Linked DNA regions of Arabidopsis thaliana. The protein of the gene in region 3 purifies or fractionates together with the protein of the main gene of each other region. This does not show direct contact. Each region holds a gene or a part of one and is shown on either strand. Other genes may lie near its edges. The genes, in order: AT3G20820, AT5G12940 and AT5G28590.

Evidence for each region.
Region 1: the proteins of AT5G28590 (region 3) and AT3G20820 fractionate together in Arabidopsis thaliana (co-fractionation; one large-scale study listed by BioGRID). This does not show direct contact.
Region 2: the proteins of AT5G28590 (region 3) and AT5G12940 fractionate together in Arabidopsis thaliana (co-fractionation; one large-scale study listed by BioGRID). This does not show direct contact.

What each region holds. Positions count from the first base shown.
Region 1 is NC_003074.8:7,278,312-7,284,240, forward strand, and holds AT3G20820 (Leucine-rich repeat (LRR) family protein), read left to right. Parts: upstream 1-2,480; 5' UTR 2,481-2,618; coding exon 2,619-3,716; 3' UTR 3,717-4,066; downstream 4,067-5,929.
Region 2 is NC_003076.8:4,084,961-4,090,755, reverse strand, and holds AT5G12940 (Leucine-rich repeat (LRR) family protein), read right to left. Parts: upstream 3,068-5,795; 5' UTR 2,975-3,067; coding exon 1,859-2,974; 3' UTR 1,610-1,858; downstream 1-1,609. Other genes in the region: AT5G12930 (inactive rhomboid protein), read left to right, coding at 5,534-5,795.
Region 3 is NC_003076.8:10,577,386-10,584,225, forward strand, and holds AT5G28590 (DNA-binding family protein), read right to left. Parts: upstream 4,175-6,840; coding exon 4,104-4,174; intron 3,192-4,103; coding exon 3,140-3,191; intron 3,010-3,139; coding exon 2,893-3,009; intron 2,609-2,892; coding exon 2,504-2,608; intron 2,367-2,503; coding exon 2,061-2,366; downstream 1-2,060.

The DNA.
Region 1 (5,929 bases), on a different chromosome or scaffold from region 3:
TTTAGGTATTGGTAATGTTTGTCTTTGTTTCAAGTAAGAAATGGTTTAATCAAAATCTAATCTTCAATTAGTATCTTCCTTTTAGTTGGCTTATGTCATTGTAATTGCACTTATCTTGTTGATATCATTCATTTTATATATAACTTGCGACCTAACCAATGCTTTGGAGTTCGTGGGTGATTAATATACTCATGCCAAAACCAATAATTAATTTCTTGACACGTAATACCCGCAGCAACTGAGCTGTCGCATGACAAGCCAAAAAACCATCAAGTTTAAAGAAACAAAATCCACCAAGATGAGATTTTTAACTCGCAAAGATTTTTGTTCTTTGGGATGTAACATTAAATAGTAGACGACAGATTTTATGCGAAATACAAAAACTTTGAGAAAATAGTTTTAAAAAAGACATATTGTACCCCTCCAGGTAAAAAAGATCTAGTCCAACACCTATAAACTTTGAAAACTCTACTAGCATTAAACTTTGGACATTACTATGTCTCGCATAATCGCCTTTAGGAATGCTAAGGACAAAAACATGTTTTACAGTTATTGTCTGTGAGCAGTAGTTTCATGTGGCTGCCGTTTATTACGAAACCGTCGGTGCTGAATTAGAGACACGGACGGTGAAAAATCATAAACGGTAAATGCTTTTACAACCATTTATCTATATGCTTTGAAGCCCAATCTTAGCCCAAGCCATGATACTAGAAGCCGAATCAAAAGCTAATATAGGGCTTGATTGGTTCTCCCTCTGCCACCCGCAAACGCAGCGTTTGCGGGTGGTAGCGGTTATTAGCGGTTGGCACCAATCATAGAAACCGCTAGATACCGCTTTGGACCGCTTGAAATCACCAGATTTCAAAAGCTCCTTCCCGCAAGCGTTTGCGGTTGCGGGCGGTAGCGGTTAGGTTAAAAAAAAATTAATTAATTAATTAAAATAATTATGTCTTCCACCCAAACCTTATACTTATTCTTATCAGAAAACCCTAATCAATGAAACCCTATTCTCTCAATTATGGCATCCACCCAAACTGACAAAAATCAAAGTCAAAATCAAGAATCAAACGTAAGTATGATCTATCCTTTCATCCATTCATTAGCTAGTGTAATTCTCGGAATATTTCATGGCATCGTTGTTTTTTTTTATTTTGTTTTTTTTTGAGTTTTTTGATTGAATACATGTTTTGATTTGTTTTCTCGATTAGAAAATCATTTGGTCAAACGAGACCACATTTGCGTTACTTCAACGGGTTATTGTGGAGAAATAAACGGAAGAATCCAAAGACCCCAAAATCAGATTTCTAAGTGATGTTCAAAAAGAAAATATTCTTAAGAATATTAACGTTTGGAAAAAATTTGAGTTGGAGATGTGTTAAAAATCGTTTGGATATCTTGAAGAAACTTTATCATATGTATAGAGGCAATCCGGAAAACCCGCGAGTTCAACGTTATTTACAGTTTATCACACTACTTGATGCAATTTTTGGTGATGTACCAAATGCATAAAGTATTAAACTTTTTCTTACAAAATTTATTTATTTTTGAATTTTTAGTTTTATTTATGGTTTTAATTATTAAGTATGTTTAATTTTTCAAATATTATCAATTTATCATAATAATATATTGTATTTTTTTTCTTTTAATAGTAATATATTATATTTATTTTGGTTATTTTTTATTTAATTACTATCGCACCCGCTGGTTTACCAGTCATAAAACTCCCGCAAACGCACTCATTACCAAACGCTCAACCAGTCGTTCAAAACACTTGATAACGTTTGAAACCGCAACCGCCCGTTTCCGCAAATTCCCGCAACCGCAATCGTACCCGCTGCGTTTAAACCAGGCCCATAGTCAACATAAGTTACGGAACCACAACTATTTGCGACTCGAAGATGTGTATCGTCATCTCATAACATGATTAGAAAAAGGATTAAAATGCAAGAACATAACCACGTGGCGTCATGTTGACCCTGTGATATGATTGTAGTAAGCAACAAGCTTATCCAACCGGCAAGTCGCATCGGAAAATCTAATCGTAGCTTCAATTATTTGCATGGGAACTCTCCCCCACTTTCAGTTCCTGTCTCTATCTTAATTTGTCTGCAACCTTTTCTATTACCATCTAATGAATGTGCTCAACACTATAAATCCATGTGTATGTTTCTTCATTTTTGTGGCCATATTATTGCTACAACTAGTTATTACAAACCACACAATCACATGTTACTCAAACAACAAACCCACATGTTAAAAGTTATTACCAATTTCTTACGTTCTCGTTTTTTTGTGTTTAAGATATCTAACATGAATTTGACATTTGTTGTTGACTAATTTGATGTAGAATTTCTTGATTAATCAAGATTACACGAACACAAGCTTCATTATTGAACGAGGCCAAAGTGTCTAATCTTACCCATATCGAATTATTATTTTAACAATTTCACGTAAAAAAAAAAATAAAGCAAAGTATTGTCCTTTTTTTATTAATATATTTTTAAAAATTCCCTCTTTTATTTAATATCCTCTATTTATATGCCATTAACGTCTATCTTCTTCCCTCACCCATCAAGTCCCAATTCCCAACACTGTCACTCAAAAAGAATCTTCAAACAATGAATCTCAACGTCGTCGTTTTACTCCTACTCCTTCTAATCTCATCCGCCACGTGTTGTCCGCCGTCAGACCGCCGTGCACTTCTAGCTTTCCGATCAGCTCTTCACGAGCCTTACCTCGGCATTTTCAACTCATGGACAGGCCAAGACTGTTGCCACAACTGGTACGGTATTAGCTGCGACTCGCTCACTCACCGAGTCGCCGACATAAATCTCCGCGGCGAGTCAGAAGATCCAATCTTCGAACGAGCTCACCGAACCGGTTACATGACCGGACACATCTCCGCCTCGATATGTGAGCTCACTCGTCTCTCCGCCATTACAATCGCCGATTGGAAAGGTATCTCCGGCGAAATCCCTAAATGTATCACTCGTCTTCCTTTTCTCCGTACACTCGACTTAATCGGAAACCAAATCTCCGGTGGGATTCCATACGACATCGGAAGATTAAACCGGTTAGCTGTTTTAAACGTAGCCGATAACCGAATCTCCGGTTCAATTCCAAAATCATTAACCAATCTCTCTAGCTTAATGCATTTAGATCTCCGTAACAACTTAATCTCCGGTGTAATCCCGTCGGACGTCGGAAGATTAAAAATGCTCAGCCGTGCGTTATTATCCGGTAACCGAATAACCGGTCGGATCCCAGAATCATTAACCAATATCTACCGGTTAGCTGACGTGGATCTCTCCGGTAACCAACTCTACGGTACAATCCCACCGTCTCTAGGACGTATGTCGGTACTAGCCACACTTAACCTCGACGGAAACAAAATCTCCGGCGAGATACCTCAAACTCTGATGACGTCGTCGGTGATGAATCTGAATTTGAGCCGGAACTTGCTACAAGGGAAGATACCTGAAGGGTTTGGACCAAGGTCTTACTTCACAGTTCTTGATTTGTCGTATAATAATCTGAAAGGACCAATACCGAGATCGATCTCAGGTGCGTCGTTTATTGGTCATTTGGATCTTAGCCATAACCATCTCTGTGGGAGGATTCCGGTAGGTTCACCGTTTGATCATCTTGAAGCGGCGTCGTTTATGTTTAACGACTGTCTTTGTGGTAAACCTTTAAGAGCTTGCTTGAAAAATTGATTTTTATATGTAATTTGAGTTTTTTCATTAGAGACATTATTATATTTATGGTTATGCATTTTATAAAAAAAAGATTTAAAATTGTATGCTACGTTTAGTTGAATTATGGGATGATTAACAAAATATATAAACTTCCAGTTTCATTCGTCACACGATTGCTATCATTTTTAATTCAATTGTTTGGTTTTTTGTAATATGTTATATGTGTACGTATACGATTACTATAAACTGTTTTATAGACGATTAAATTTTCTCTATAACACACGAACATATTTGATAATCAATTATGTTTACTGTGACAAGAGTCAATATTGGGAATATATCCGAACATAGGATATACATGGAAATACCTACGGATATGTTCGTATTTAATGTATCGAGTAAACTATTTTTTGTTTTTTCTTACATATTTTATACGATATACATATAACTATAGACTAGGAATGCATTTAGTTGGGTTTGTTTAAGAACATTTATTCTAGAGCCAAATACACATAATATGGAAAAATTCAAATCACAATCACATGAAGAAGAATTAAATGAAACATTAAAAAGAAAGCGTTGTGGGGGTAATAAATAAATGGGCAGAGGCATTGCATGTGAGACTCTGTAAAGCATTTTGCGGTGAGTGTTAACCTCAGGACCTGTCGCTGCTTCACTACATGGGTCTACTCTTTATGTCACTGCATTCATTGCTTATGTCTCTAATTACACACATTTATATACTTGCTTACAAAACGTTTTGGGCTCATACAGCTTTAGAGTCCAAACTAATTGGGCCTACGTACGTTGGTCCCTATAGATTTTTATGGTTTAGAGTCCATCACAAATCTTGTTTTCATACTTTGTGGTATGTAAAGTTGAGATTCAAACAAACCATTTGTACAACGTATAAATTATGTATTAAGTTTGAACCTATTTGATTATATATTCCGATAAATAATCTGCCATACATCATCAAAACAAAATGATTTTTTTTTTAACATGAACTAAAGAAGAAGAAGAAAGTTGTACAAGTTCTTTAACTCTCTCCCTGCCTTCTGTTGCTTATGGAATAAGGTTGGTCGAACACAACATGTGATCACCTTCCTAATATCCAAATCTTCTTTTGTCCTATTAATTATTTATTTTTTCCAATATTTATCTTGATGGATTTTAGTATAAAATACCCATTGTCAATTTTGAGAAATGCCAAACTATAATTATAGGTTTTGTCCACTTTCTTTTTTTATTTTTTATTCCTCCTTTTTGTATTTGTCTTAATCAGTACTACTCGAAATACACTTTGTTCACTACTTGTAAAAACTCTTAACATACTTGAATAGGATCTGTTTTCTATAATTAACAGAAACATTACAAAGAACCAAATGCATAATGGTATGCAAGAAAACAAACCATATGAGTCATTGTTTAAATTGACTCTCCTTGTACAGTGAAACTTCTAGCTAATTACTTTTTTTGGTGACTGAACCAAGCTAAATCTAATGGAACAAGTGTTATTCAAAATAAATAAATTGATAGCTACTAACAAGAGCGTTGAGAACGTTACAATTAATATGTTAAATAATCAGATTTTAAATTTTGTGCAATCTCCAAAACTTTTCTGCTAACACTTTACATGGATCTTTGTTTTTCTTTGATCAAAGATCGTTTGTGAAATGACTTTCTAAGGCATTTTCGGTGTGACTTTCAAACGTATGTATTGTAAATAAAAAGGACATGTACGTATTTTCAAACACTATAAATCATTTGTAAATGTATGCTTTGCAAGTTTTGGGCGGAACACCTACATAAAAGTTAATTTTTCATTTTCAAAGCCAAACACCTATCTTTTTAGCTTGTAGGTGTATCCTTAATATGGGTAGGACTTTGTTTTACCCGTGACTTTGCTTTTTGCTCCATATCTCAACACAATTGCATCTATTGCTATATCATAAAAACACAAAAAGTAAGCTAGTCTTAGATCCATCGTAGAGACTCGAGATGATATTGAACCACTTCTATACATATCTCTCCGTGATAACATTTTATAAAACTATAGGAATGATAGCTAGAAACTTTGAGTTCTAAAGAAGAAGAGACAGATTTATCATAACTTGTTAATATGATAATATCAGTAAGTATTGGATTACTAATTCAGCTCCAGGCTTAGCAATTTCTTGCTTTACTTAAAAAATAACACGGAATTCGAATTCGAACAAACGATTCTCCAT
Region 2 (5,795 bases), 6.5 Mb from region 3:
AATACTATGTTGTTGTGCCTTATTGGATTGCTACAAAGGCAGTAACCTTGTTCAGTTGATAAGCTATGTAGAATATACTGTATAGGACTAAGGTTTTGTGTGTCAATGCATATGTATATAACTCAACTCTAGTTGGTGTCGAAGAATTGATTTTATTTAAACTCATACTAATAGTTCAAAAGTATGTCAAAAGTATATCTTTATCCATTCCAATGCTTCGAGTTGGTGAGACTAATCTTGCTAAGAAACTTATTGCACATATATAGTGGAAGGGGGATTAGTTAGTAAGACCAAGACCGAGCAAGTCTCTAATTGTAAGACCATATATATATATATTTTTTATCTTTTCAACGATATGGTAGTTAAATACATTTACCCTACAATAATTGGAATACTTAATAGTTAATCGATGAGTTTTATGAAATTATTGTAGAACATAGAAAGCTCATACAAGAATACTTTGAGAGAAAGTCTTCCTCAACACTTAAGAAACAGGCTTTTGTAAGCATATGTCAATACGTTTGTCTAAAACCAGTTACGTTGAAACAATTATTACTAGAAATTTTACAATCAGCATGGACCATTAATATTTTTAACTAATAGGATGCTTCAAAGCATACTTTGCACACAAACTTGTTATGGAATTCTCTCATGTACGGTATTCCTGTTAATAATAAAAGTGACTTAGAAGCATCACATACTTGTTGTGCAATTCTCTCCCGCACGGTATTCACGTGTTCTTTGTGTCGTATCTTGTTGTTCTTCTAAAAAAACTATGTCTACTATATAGTTGTGATGATCTTTACCGGGCAAGCTAGCCATTATTACTTATAACAGAATCTAGATCAATATACCATTAATGAATAAATTTATGTAATCTAGCTAGTAGTGACTATTGTGTTTTGTGCTATAGAGTAATCTATCAGAAACTTTGTCAATATTCTTACTTTATCTTTGAAATATGAAATGTGTGTTCAATAACGGATCAAAGAGATCATCACAAAGAAAATGTAGTTTGACTAATTCCATCGCAAAATTTATAGTTCATTGCACATCCTTTGGAGGCTATGATCAGCAACGCGGTCATCACAGAATTGCTTAAAGGTGTGAGATATTTTTACGTCAATATTGATTTACGACTAATTAAAACTCAGTTGAAAAACTTGTGGAGTTATGGCAATATTTATATCTTCCGTTCTTCCAAAAGACGACTACTTATGCATGGTGCACCACCGACATTGGATACAAGCCCACCAAACCAATTTGGCCTATACGGTCCACTTAAATATGTTTTGTTAAGTAGACCACCTAATTGGACATATAGACCTGGCGTCACAAAGAAAATGGACATAGACACAAATTCTGGTTTAACATTACAACAGAAAAATGTACTAACTGAAATTTGAATGAAACCAATCTCTAAGTGAAACACACCAAAACAAGAGATACAAGAAAAAAACGTATCTTAAAAGTGTTACACACTTACACTTCTAACCAAACTGTTTTGAATTGTATGTAAGGAGACGAATTTAATATGCATACCATAGTCCATATTTGTAAAGTCTAGTCAGAACAAATGGTTGAATGTATCCCGGGCTTTACTGATCTCACAAGCGTGGTCGGTCCACATTTCTAAACTCGTATTTGAAAAGTTTATCCTATTAGCTCATTTCATTTGGTTCGAGGTGTCTCATTGATGATAGTTTGAGAATCAATCAAGACAGATAAACAAGAAGACTTAAACACCAGATAAAAATATTGCTTATAGTTACATTGATAACGTGAAAATTATAGTAATAATATTCATAATCAAACTATATAATGATTCCCTCAAATCTTTAAACAATAATTTAATTAATTATTTCTTACAATTCCCAAGAGGCTTTCCACAAAGACAAGCATTGTAAGCAAACGACGTCGCGTCAAGATGATCAAACGGAGATCCCATCGGAATCTTCCCACACAAATGGTTATGGCTCACGTCAAGGTGACCAATAAACGACGCCGCCGTGATACTCGCCGGAATCGGTCCCTGAAGACGATTGTTCGCAAGATCCAGCACCGTGAAGTACGATCTCGGTCCAAACGTGTTAGGTATACTTCCGGTTATAAGATTCCCGCTCAGATTCAAATTCGAGATCGATGATGCCAATAGACTCCCCGGAATCATACCGGAGATCAAGTTCCCATCGAGATTGAGAGTCGCGAGCACCGACATTTTACCGAACGAAGCCGGAATCGGACCGGTGAGTCGGTTCATCGAGAGCTCAAGATCCGCGAGCCGGTATATCCGGGTCAGAGAATCGGGTATTTGACCCGAGATTTTGTTACCGCTTAAAAGGACACGACTCACCATCTTTAAACGACCAATATCTCGCGGTATGACTCCCGAGATATTGTTATTCCTGAGATCCAAATGCGATAAACTCACTAATCTCGTGATCGACGGAGGAATCACACCGTATAAGTGATTATCAGCTAGATTCAACACTTTAAGCCTCAGTAACTTCCCGATATTCGCCGGAATCACGCCGGAGAATTTATTTCCGACGAGATCTAAATGTCTCAAGAAAGGGAGATTCTCAATGCAACTAGGAATCACACCGGAGATTCCCTTCCAATCAGCGATGATGATACCGGAGAGACGAGTGAGCTTACATATAGAGGGCGAAATGGAGCCGGTCATTAGTCCGCTCCGTTTCGCCTTTTGGAAAAGCGGGTCTTCGGATTCACCTCGGAGTGTAATGCCGGCGACTCGACGGGTGTTGGGATCGCAGCTCACACCATACCAGCCTTTGCAACAGTCTAGACCTTTCCATGTGTTGAAAACTCCAATGTAGGGCTCGTTGAGCTTTGCTCGGAACTCTAGAAGCGCCGCTCGGTCGGACGGTAAGCAAGAATGGACAGTCGTGGAGAGAAGCAAGAAGACGACGACGTTAGTCAATAGGATCACTAACGATTTCTTAGTATCCATAGTGTAGAGAATCTTTTGTGTGATGTGTTTTTTTTTTAGCTTTACATAGGTTGAAGCACGTTGACATGGAAGTGTGACTTAACTATATGGTTTTATTTATAGTCACATATTGATGGGAGTAAAGACGACGAAATACTTCTTTTTGTTGCTTCGTTGAACCTTCTCATTTTTTGCCACGTCGTCACATACTTTGCATGCTCATTTGTTTCATTATTATCAGACTTTTCTTTGTGTGTGGTCAAGATTGGATCATTATGATTCATTACAAATAACATGGTTTTGTTTGTCTCGGTCGCCTGGTTGTACTATCTATGTCACAACTCAGAAGGCCTGAGCATGTTCTTGGTTCGACTCTCCCGAGTCTCTCCATACGTACTGGAATATAAGAATTACAGATTTGGCTATATGAGACCATAATATTTGAAAAATGAGATTAAAGTAACAATCGTGGCAAGACATATATTAGTATTAGTTCTTTTTTCTTGTCTACATTGAATTTTTTGGACATAATAATGAGGGACAACATTCAAGTGGCTTAAGCTACAGCAATTAGTATTATCCTAGCTAGTTTCATATCTTGTCCATAATACTGTACTTTTTGACTAGACTAGTTCCTACTAGTTTTTATTTATGTATAGATGCATGATTTATTAATATACTGTCAAATTCATTGATCTTATCGTTGTAGATGAGCATGTGATCTTTGTCCTTGGTAGCAATTTGTACATAAATAATATGAACCCCCATGTAAAGATGTTTATTTTTTCGACCTTCTTGTTCAACCTTCGAGTCAATGAATAATAAAAAAATTGTTTTGTTAATTTTTTCTACAGTATGACACAATCCTAATCATTGTTTGCAAATTGCCTCCATGAACCATAATTTACCTTTGATTGGCATTTTCTGCTACGGTTTTGATTATTATGTGCTTGTTTTCGTTGCTGTCTAGTGACATAAAATCTGACGAGCAACGACTCAAATTTTTTATTTTTTTTTGATAAAGAACAACGACTCAAATATGTAAGGTTTTATTTTGTCTTGTTCATTTTATCGTCCATAGACCAGCGGAAGATTAAACTGTTCGTTTGTTTTCGTCAAACAGAAACGCTAATAGATTCAACCTTTAGTGAAATTATGTTTGTAGACGTTGAAAATCAACTTCTTAATTCAACAACGTAGTTTAGCGTATTTAGTTATTTCCCTTGAGATATATCTTAAAATTCATGGTCGGCCCTAAAAACAGGACAGGTTTGGAGACAGCAGCTAGAGTAAACGTGATTCGGAGATTTAGTAGTTGTTATAATTGTATCAAGAGATTTAGAAGGAAGTGTCAAGTCAGAAGGGTGACATTAATGGCTTTGATTATTCAAAAGACAACTCATGTGCCCGCGCATGTGCTTGACGTTCGTTTGCCGTGTATTAGAACTTTAAAAACTGATTCATATAAATCATCGGTCGATTGAAATATATTAACATGGATTATGATGACAACAATCATTATACAATTAAGTTTTATGAAATGATCATCCACAAAACATAACTTTTGTCGGCTATTTTTTTGTTGACGTGACAAACTAAATTAGTAAACTGTGTTTTGAGTGCAAAAAGATGAGAAATTTGTGGGATTGATTGCATAGAATAACACTTACAAAAATGTAGGTAGTATGCAGGGGAGTCAACAACAGACGACTTTTCATAATTCAGAAAACGAAGAAAAACAAAAAGAAAGGTCGATTTCCCAAGGACTAGGGCATAGCACGTGTCTATATCACTGGAGGATATATCACTTAGACCGTTAGACGTCACGTGTAATCGTGTATTAATGCTTGCAAAATGTGGTTCAATCAAATACCCAATTAAGGGTTATGAGAACTAATACAAAAATGTGGTTCCCGTAAATAATGCATGAGCAAGCACATGACTGACATGAGAGATAGACCAGCGAATAAAGGTTAAGTATTGACGCACCATGCAAAGCGTAACGGTGAACTGGAGCTCTACTGGCTGAGATAATTCACAAGGTGAAGGTGAGATATATTTTAGGAGAGCCAGAAAGGTAGAACCCAAGACAAATAAAGAGAGAGACCAAGTGAGTTTTGGACTAATGTTTTTCAAAGAATGTGTCTATAACTATTTATTAAGTTCCAAAAAAAGACAAATAAAAGTATGATTTTTCTATATAGGACTACTCGATTAATCTTAACAAAAAGACGAATAAGCAGAAAACATATATGTTTGTTTTTTCAAAACAATAACCTTGGAAATCAAAACACCAGAAAAATGTGGCTGTGAAGAAAAGTACAAGAGAGACAGTAAAAAGAAAATGAACCAAAAAGGCAAAAAAATGAATACGTGGCTTCAATGTAGACCCAGACGATGAACGTCGCATCACCTTCCTTACGGGGGAAATCTCACATTTTGAAATTACAGAAAACTCCAAAGAACCCAAAATTGAATATTGAATATTGAAAATTGAAAAAATCTCTCTTTGAAGAATTGAAATCTCTCTTTGAAGACGAACGAACCTCGTTGATTCCTCCATTCCTCTTCGGCTCGTCCATGAATGAACCCGGTTCGGATCCGGATCCCGGGTCTTACCCAATTCCGCATGCTTCAGTCCATCTCGCCCCTTTCTTCTCTCCGTATACTCGTCGCCTCTCTACTCACTTTACCCGTCGTTGCCAGCCTCTACAATCGTCTCCCCCGCTAGCTTACATCTCTCTCCAGGGTTTACTCGTCAATTCCGATGAAGCCAGCTCAGCGCGATCAATCGGCGGCGGATTGAGCAGAGAGGAATCCCTTGCGTGGGAGCTCTTCACGC
Region 3 (6,840 bases):
TCGTGTTTTGTCAGCTTTGGATTCAATCTCACCCTTTCCTCAAACAAGGCAGCAATCGAAGACCGCTTCAGCATCTTAAAATACCCTGACCTCACACATGAATGCTCATTGACATAAACTTTTATTTGCATCTTATGTTTTTTCTTCTCATAAGAACAATAAATTCTCCACGGACATTTAACACCATCTTCATCAATATAACTTCACTTAGCTGCAATGATCATAGATGCTGACCTATAAAGCTTTATGCCATACCTTGTCTTCAAAGAGTACATCAATAATGCACGCTTGAAGAGTCATTCGGAGAGTTGTAGGTTTTCTCTAATGCTAGCAAACCCTCTGGCTCGTTTTCATCTCTACGAGTTGTCTCTTCTTCTCCTCTAACTTCATCTTCGTCATCAGATGACAACGGATCAGGAATCCTGTCTTCATCCCATATATCATCACCGCTGTCGTGGTCAGAACCGTCTTCATCAACTCTAAAAGCCTCATGAAAATCTTCTTCAATGTTAAGGTTTGCATCTTCTTCAAAAGCATCGTTAGCATCTTCTCCATCAGCATCGTTAGCATCTTCTCCATCAGCATCGTTAGCATCGTTAGCATCTTCCTCCACAGCATCGTTATCTCCACCACGTATTGCATCGTCAACACCATTGCAGTCATCATCACCATATACGGCACAGTCATCTTCGATATCTTGAGCAACTTCCAATTCAGGCTTTTCCTCATATTTTTCAACGACTCTTCTTCGTTTTCGACTCTGTCTAGAGACTCGACCTCCAAGAACATTGGGTTGAGCTAAACCTCCATCTTCTACAGACAGTGAGGCTACTACACTTCCATCTACCGCCGGTGGACCTCCAATTTCACATCTCGCTGGATCTTCAACTTCAGCTGCCGAATTAGAGACTCACATTGTTGTCCCAATCCTAGATACAACGCCTTTGTTTCGAACCAAAGGCATTTGTGAAAGATTTGTAATTACCAATTCGATTTAGGTTTCTGGGAATTAGGGATATCAAGTTTGAGAATTGGGGATTTTTTGTCGACTAATTTGAGTATAAGTGCCGATTAAGTCGAAAACGACGCAGTTTTGTCACTAACAAAGAGATGTTAACGGATCTAAACGGCTGTTAATGGGTCCGTTATCGGATTTAACGACGAGTATATTTAGGCCCGGTCAACAAAATTATGAAAGTCAACGCAAAGTTAATGTTTAAAACGATCTTATACGAAGTTGGTGTATAAAATGGCATTTTGGTAAAGTTCGGCAATTAAACGACATTTTCCCCGATTTAGATTAGAGGCATTCATGAGAAACATTGTGCTTTTAAGTGATATAGAGGAAAATGTTTGTTTGAGTATTTGTTACTAAAAGTATTTACAGGATAGAAAATAACGTATATATAGATGTTTTGGTTTTTCTTGAGAGATTTAAAGACCACTTTAGTCTAGTAAACAACATTACAATCAACGTAGTCTGTTGTAGTAGAGAGTTTGCCTTCTTTCATATATATATGATTGTCCATATTTCTAAATTTTCAATTCGTTTGAGAAAAAAAAAAATACAATTAACCAAAAAAAGAAAAACTGATTATATGAAGAAAAAGAACAAAAAAAAAAGGATGAAAACAAAGAGAATCCAGAAAAAGAAAGTGAAGTTATTATAATTTTACACTGAACCAAGAACAAAAGCATCACTGTCTTCTTTACTTTTCTTTCTCTGCCTTTGCAATGAAAAATTCCTTTAGACATTATATGATGATACGTCCACTCTCACCCTGACTCAGGCTCAACCTCAGTTTTGATCTAAAACCCTACACACGTCTCTTCGTCTCTTCGGAAACTTGAATCTGTAACTAATCTTTGCCATTTACTCATAATCTCCATTTTCTGATTACCCATTTCCTCTCAGTCCTACACAACATAACATCCATAAGGCCACCATTACAGTCCAAACAACAAACAATAAGAATCTTATTAAGGCTTGTGATATTATCAGTCTCACTAAATATTCGAGAACACACCGGAAACCCCAAAAGATACAAACGAGTAAGTGGTTAGCTACTTTTACCTGACAAATCATACCCAGTACCGCCCCATTCAGAAGGTCGGGCATGTGTCATGTGCATGCCCTGAGGTGGTTTCATCATGAAATGAGCTCCACCACCCAATGCACTACTAGTAATAGTATGATGCTCATCGTTTGGATTTCTTCCGGAAGATTCCATATCGGGATGGTAGCCCAACAAAGATTCTGTACCAGAAGGAGAAGGTAACATGTTTCTACTTCCCGAAGCATCATCTCCTTTCGCACCATTTCTTCCATCCTTCTTTTTCTCTAGCTGAAACGTGCCAAGAACCACCTGTACGGGAAACCAAAGCCAAGAGCAGAGAGACTATCCCTATCAAACTTGGCAAATAATCAAGGAATTCCATTTTCTAGATTTAGGTGAGTTTGTGCACACATGTAAATTAAACTATAAGACAAGAGGAAAGATACCTGGACTGGACCAGCAGCCTTTAGGAGTCCCCCAACTCCTCCACCAAAGATCTGACCATCTGAATTAGATAAACAAACGCTAAGGCCACCAGTTTTACCCCCGTGCTCGCACCGAATATAGATCCACTCAGTAAGATAATTTCATACTGACCCTGAATAAAAGTTCGTAATTCTGAAGCAAGTTGATGATCGTATGCAATTATCAAGCATGTATGTCAGAAGTCAATAAAATTCTTTAGCTGTAACCGAAGTTTAATTGTAACAAACAGTTCCCAAAAGAAACCAATTTCTTTAACAGAGAATCAATTCAAGAAAGCCATTTTTTACAAAGTCAGTTCAAGAACTAGTTTAGAGGGACTAGATAGTAACAAGAGAATCTCATAAGATACACTGGTTCCTGATGCAAGGTGAGACAAGGATGCATTAGAGATGGAGCCAGATGCAGAAAGAACACATAACTGATGCTTGCTTTGCTGAGTGAAAAGAACAATCTTCTCCGCCACATCCTATCAAATTAATCCGCAAAACACATAAGAAGACAACAAAATCAAATGCATTATGAATACATTCACAGTTTTAACCAAATCATAATCTCAAAAGAAGGCCTTTAGAATAGTATGAAAGAAAAATACTCACCTCACCAGGAGTTATATTAACAATGTGTGGAGTAAAACATTGCCCAGTTTTCCTTGGAAAAAAAAAATGTTTATGTGAAGCTCACAAAATGACAACAGCAAGACGAGTACAATGTTGATCAGTTGATCTTATAACCTAATTGAATCTTTAACATGAACTCAGCTGCCACAAGTTTTACAAAACAAATCAATCAGCACTAGAAACAAGAATCTACGCATTCTTCAATGTGTTCAAAACAAAGTTTCTACTCCAATACATTACGCATTTGTAAGCACAGATAATGTCTATAGAAACTCAAATACTATGAAAGTTACATAGAAAGACCAAAGATTGAAACTTAACACAATTCACATAGAACTCAAACAGCAAGAAAGAGTACAATGGTGATCAAATGAGCTTTAACATGAACTCAGCTGCCACAAGTTTTAACAAACCAAATCAATCAGCAAAATGAAGCAACACTAGACACACGAATCTACGCATTCTTCAATGTGTTTAAAACAAACTTTCTACTCAAATTACACATTTATAAACACATATGAGTGTCTCTAGAAACTCAAATACTATGAAAGTTACATAGAAAGATCAAAGATTGAAACTTTAATACAATTCACATAGAACTCAAACAATTTACGATTCACATAGTTTATTAATTGAATCTAGAACATGAATTCATTAAACTATTGGTACTACTGCCACAAGTTTTAAACAAAACAAAGACCATAAATCAGCAAAATGAAGCAATACTAGAAACATTCTTCAATGTGTTCAAAACAAAGTTTCTGCTCCAATAGATTACACATTTGTAAGCACAAAGAGTGTCTATAGAAACTCAAATACTATGAAAGTTACATCAAAAGATCAAAGATTGAAATTCATTTTTTTTTTCTGATCTCTTTTTGTTTCTCGATTTATTTTAAGGATTTGGAAATAAATTTAGTGTTATGATTTGAGCAATGTTCACGAAAGCGCGACGCTGAATCGGATCGTAGGCGATTTTAGGCGGTTAAGCCGTTTATAATACATTGGAGCCATTCTTCCCATCTACTCGACCCCCTGCTCGAGTAACAGCATCTAAGCCACTCGATGACTCCACTCGACCCGCTGGTCGAGTATCACTATGCCACGCCACCTGACCACCACTCGGCCATTCACTCTACCACGTTACTCGACCCCTTGACCGAGTATATCCTTCACCAATCATCACCATCACTCGATCAAGCACTAGACCACATCTTCAGAGTTGACTCAAATCCGCACTTAACCAGACAAGCTGAGAACAAGGAAGAGAAGTGGAGAAGAAGAAGTGTATGGAAACGGCCTGGAGCTCCATCAGATCAAAAAGCCCATCTCGGTCCATTATCACTCTATGGGCCGAGCGATTAGGTTACTAGCCCGTCTACTATCATTTTATTTTGTTTTGTATAAATAGGTGTCCGAGGGTTTTGTCCTGGTACATCTAGTCGACATTGAGTTTTTGCTTCAGTTTTATTTTCTGTTTTACTCTGGCTGCGCCGCTTTTGCTTCTGCAACCTGTAATTCGAGATTTTTCCAAGTTATTCAGATTTCGCATTTGATTTCATCTATCATCTTGTTTCTCTACTCTTTATCTCTTTACTTATGCAATATCATCATTTATCTGCGTTTATGTCTTTGAGCATGTTGTCTGAGTAGTGACATAAAGTTCTTAAGGATGGGATAGAATAGTTGTGGAATCCTTAGTCTGTAGAATGGTTAAGTTTTAGAATTGATTGAATCCCTTCACGACTAGTTGTGTTTACTGCTTATTTCTTTCTAATCAACTGAAATTCCATCTAAAGCATTCCCGCACCCAGAAGGTGTTTGATGGAATGCTTGATCCACTAGTTCATGAGATATTCGTCTTTATCCCAAGGGATTGGCCGTATAGAGCGTTTATTGACTTTATCAGTCTGTTCTTATTGCCTGCATAGTTAGATTCCGTTAATGGGAATTAGTTTGGGCTAGCTTTGCTTGAGGATTTCTATCACGGGATTGAATTGATTTGTTGTTGAACATGTTGTCTAGGGATAGCTTGATTGCGCTTGTTAACTGATATAACCCGATTTTCACTGATTTTATCTATGTTTTAGGTATAGGATTTTGAGTCTTTATGTTATTTCTCGACACCAGTTTCGGCCCAGCAAAAGTCCTAGACGCTTTCGAGTTTACAGAAGAGGAAATTTACCCCAGAAGACTTCCCTATTTGCATTATTAGTCCCTGGACGTTTTTAGGGTCTATATATATTGTTTCTAGCCCTAGTTTTCATTATCAAGTCTTTCATCCAGTTTTCATTATCAAGTTTTCTACAAAACCCTGTTACTGAGAGACATAAGCTAATCATCGATTGTTTTCAGAGTTTCATTCAGATCATTAATACAGTGAAGAGATCCCTTCTTTCCCCTTCTCTATTTACTATGTTTATGCTTTCACACTCAAATATGTTGTTTGCTTCATCCAATATGTCTGAGTAATCTGCTTGTTAGGAATAGGGTTTCTCATTAGGGATTCATATGGTTTAGTAGATTGTTCCCTTTGCTAGGTTATCTATAGAATTCTTCATCTTTAATTATGTTTAATGCTAGATTTAGAATAATTAACTAGATCTTGAATCCAGACAATAGATATGCCCGCCATAGGTATCTGTAGTTGGATCTATTATTTGATGAGTCTGGTTTATAGGTGTATAATAAGAATCGGCCTATCTACTAAGATGAACAATTGAACTCGTTAAGAATGCATATTTAGGTTGATAGTTTCTCGGCTTCTCCGGTTATTATAAGCTATAGACATAGGGAGTTCTGCGGCACGCCCACCGATTATTCCATAATTAGAGTTTGAGTTTAAGAATGGTTCGATAACAACCTAGCTTTCGTTAGATCCACTAACCTACCTTTCGTTAGATCTTTTCCTAATCGTTTACAACCCAATCATCCTGTTGTTTTCTTGGTTAGTTTACTTACTATTTCACTTATACCCTACTAGCTTTATCTTGACATTTAACTCATTGTTTGAACAAAAGAACTCCGTGAATTTGATCTTAAAATACTGCAATTGATCTCTTATTTGAGAGAGTAGTTTTAGGTAATTTGAACCATATCAAATTTCCCCCCGTTGCCGAAGTTCTTGGGAATCATCATTGAGTTTTGTTTAGAGATTTCGTATAGTTTTTACTTCTATTTTGTTACTTACGCGTTTCTTGTTTTCTTCTTTTCCGTGTTTCAGGTGTATGCCTAGGCAAACAAGGAGCACAAAAAAGAAGGAGCTTAGCAACTTATCTGTTCTGGACTTGGGAAAACTTGAATGCACCAACCGAAAAACTCAGAAATTAGCAATTGTTGACAGAGTCATCAGAGCTGATATAGAACGAGTTTTGAGAGATGAGGATGGGCAAGCCTACAATGAGGCTGGTCAGAGATTGGATGATCATGGACTCATCATACCTGAGGACGCCAATGAGGATCAAGCGCGCCACAATGCACAATTAGCTGCTAGAGATGCAGCAGGGCTCGGTGTCGATCGACACCTTCGGGAGCAGAACGCGGATGCAATCGGTATTGAATGACACAACAGAGGTGTCGATCGACACCAACACCAGATTCCTGCAGCTATTCCTCCAGCAGCGGAACCACGTCGTACTCTTGGGGATTTCAACAGGCCAGACCTGTTCTATGCTAATCGA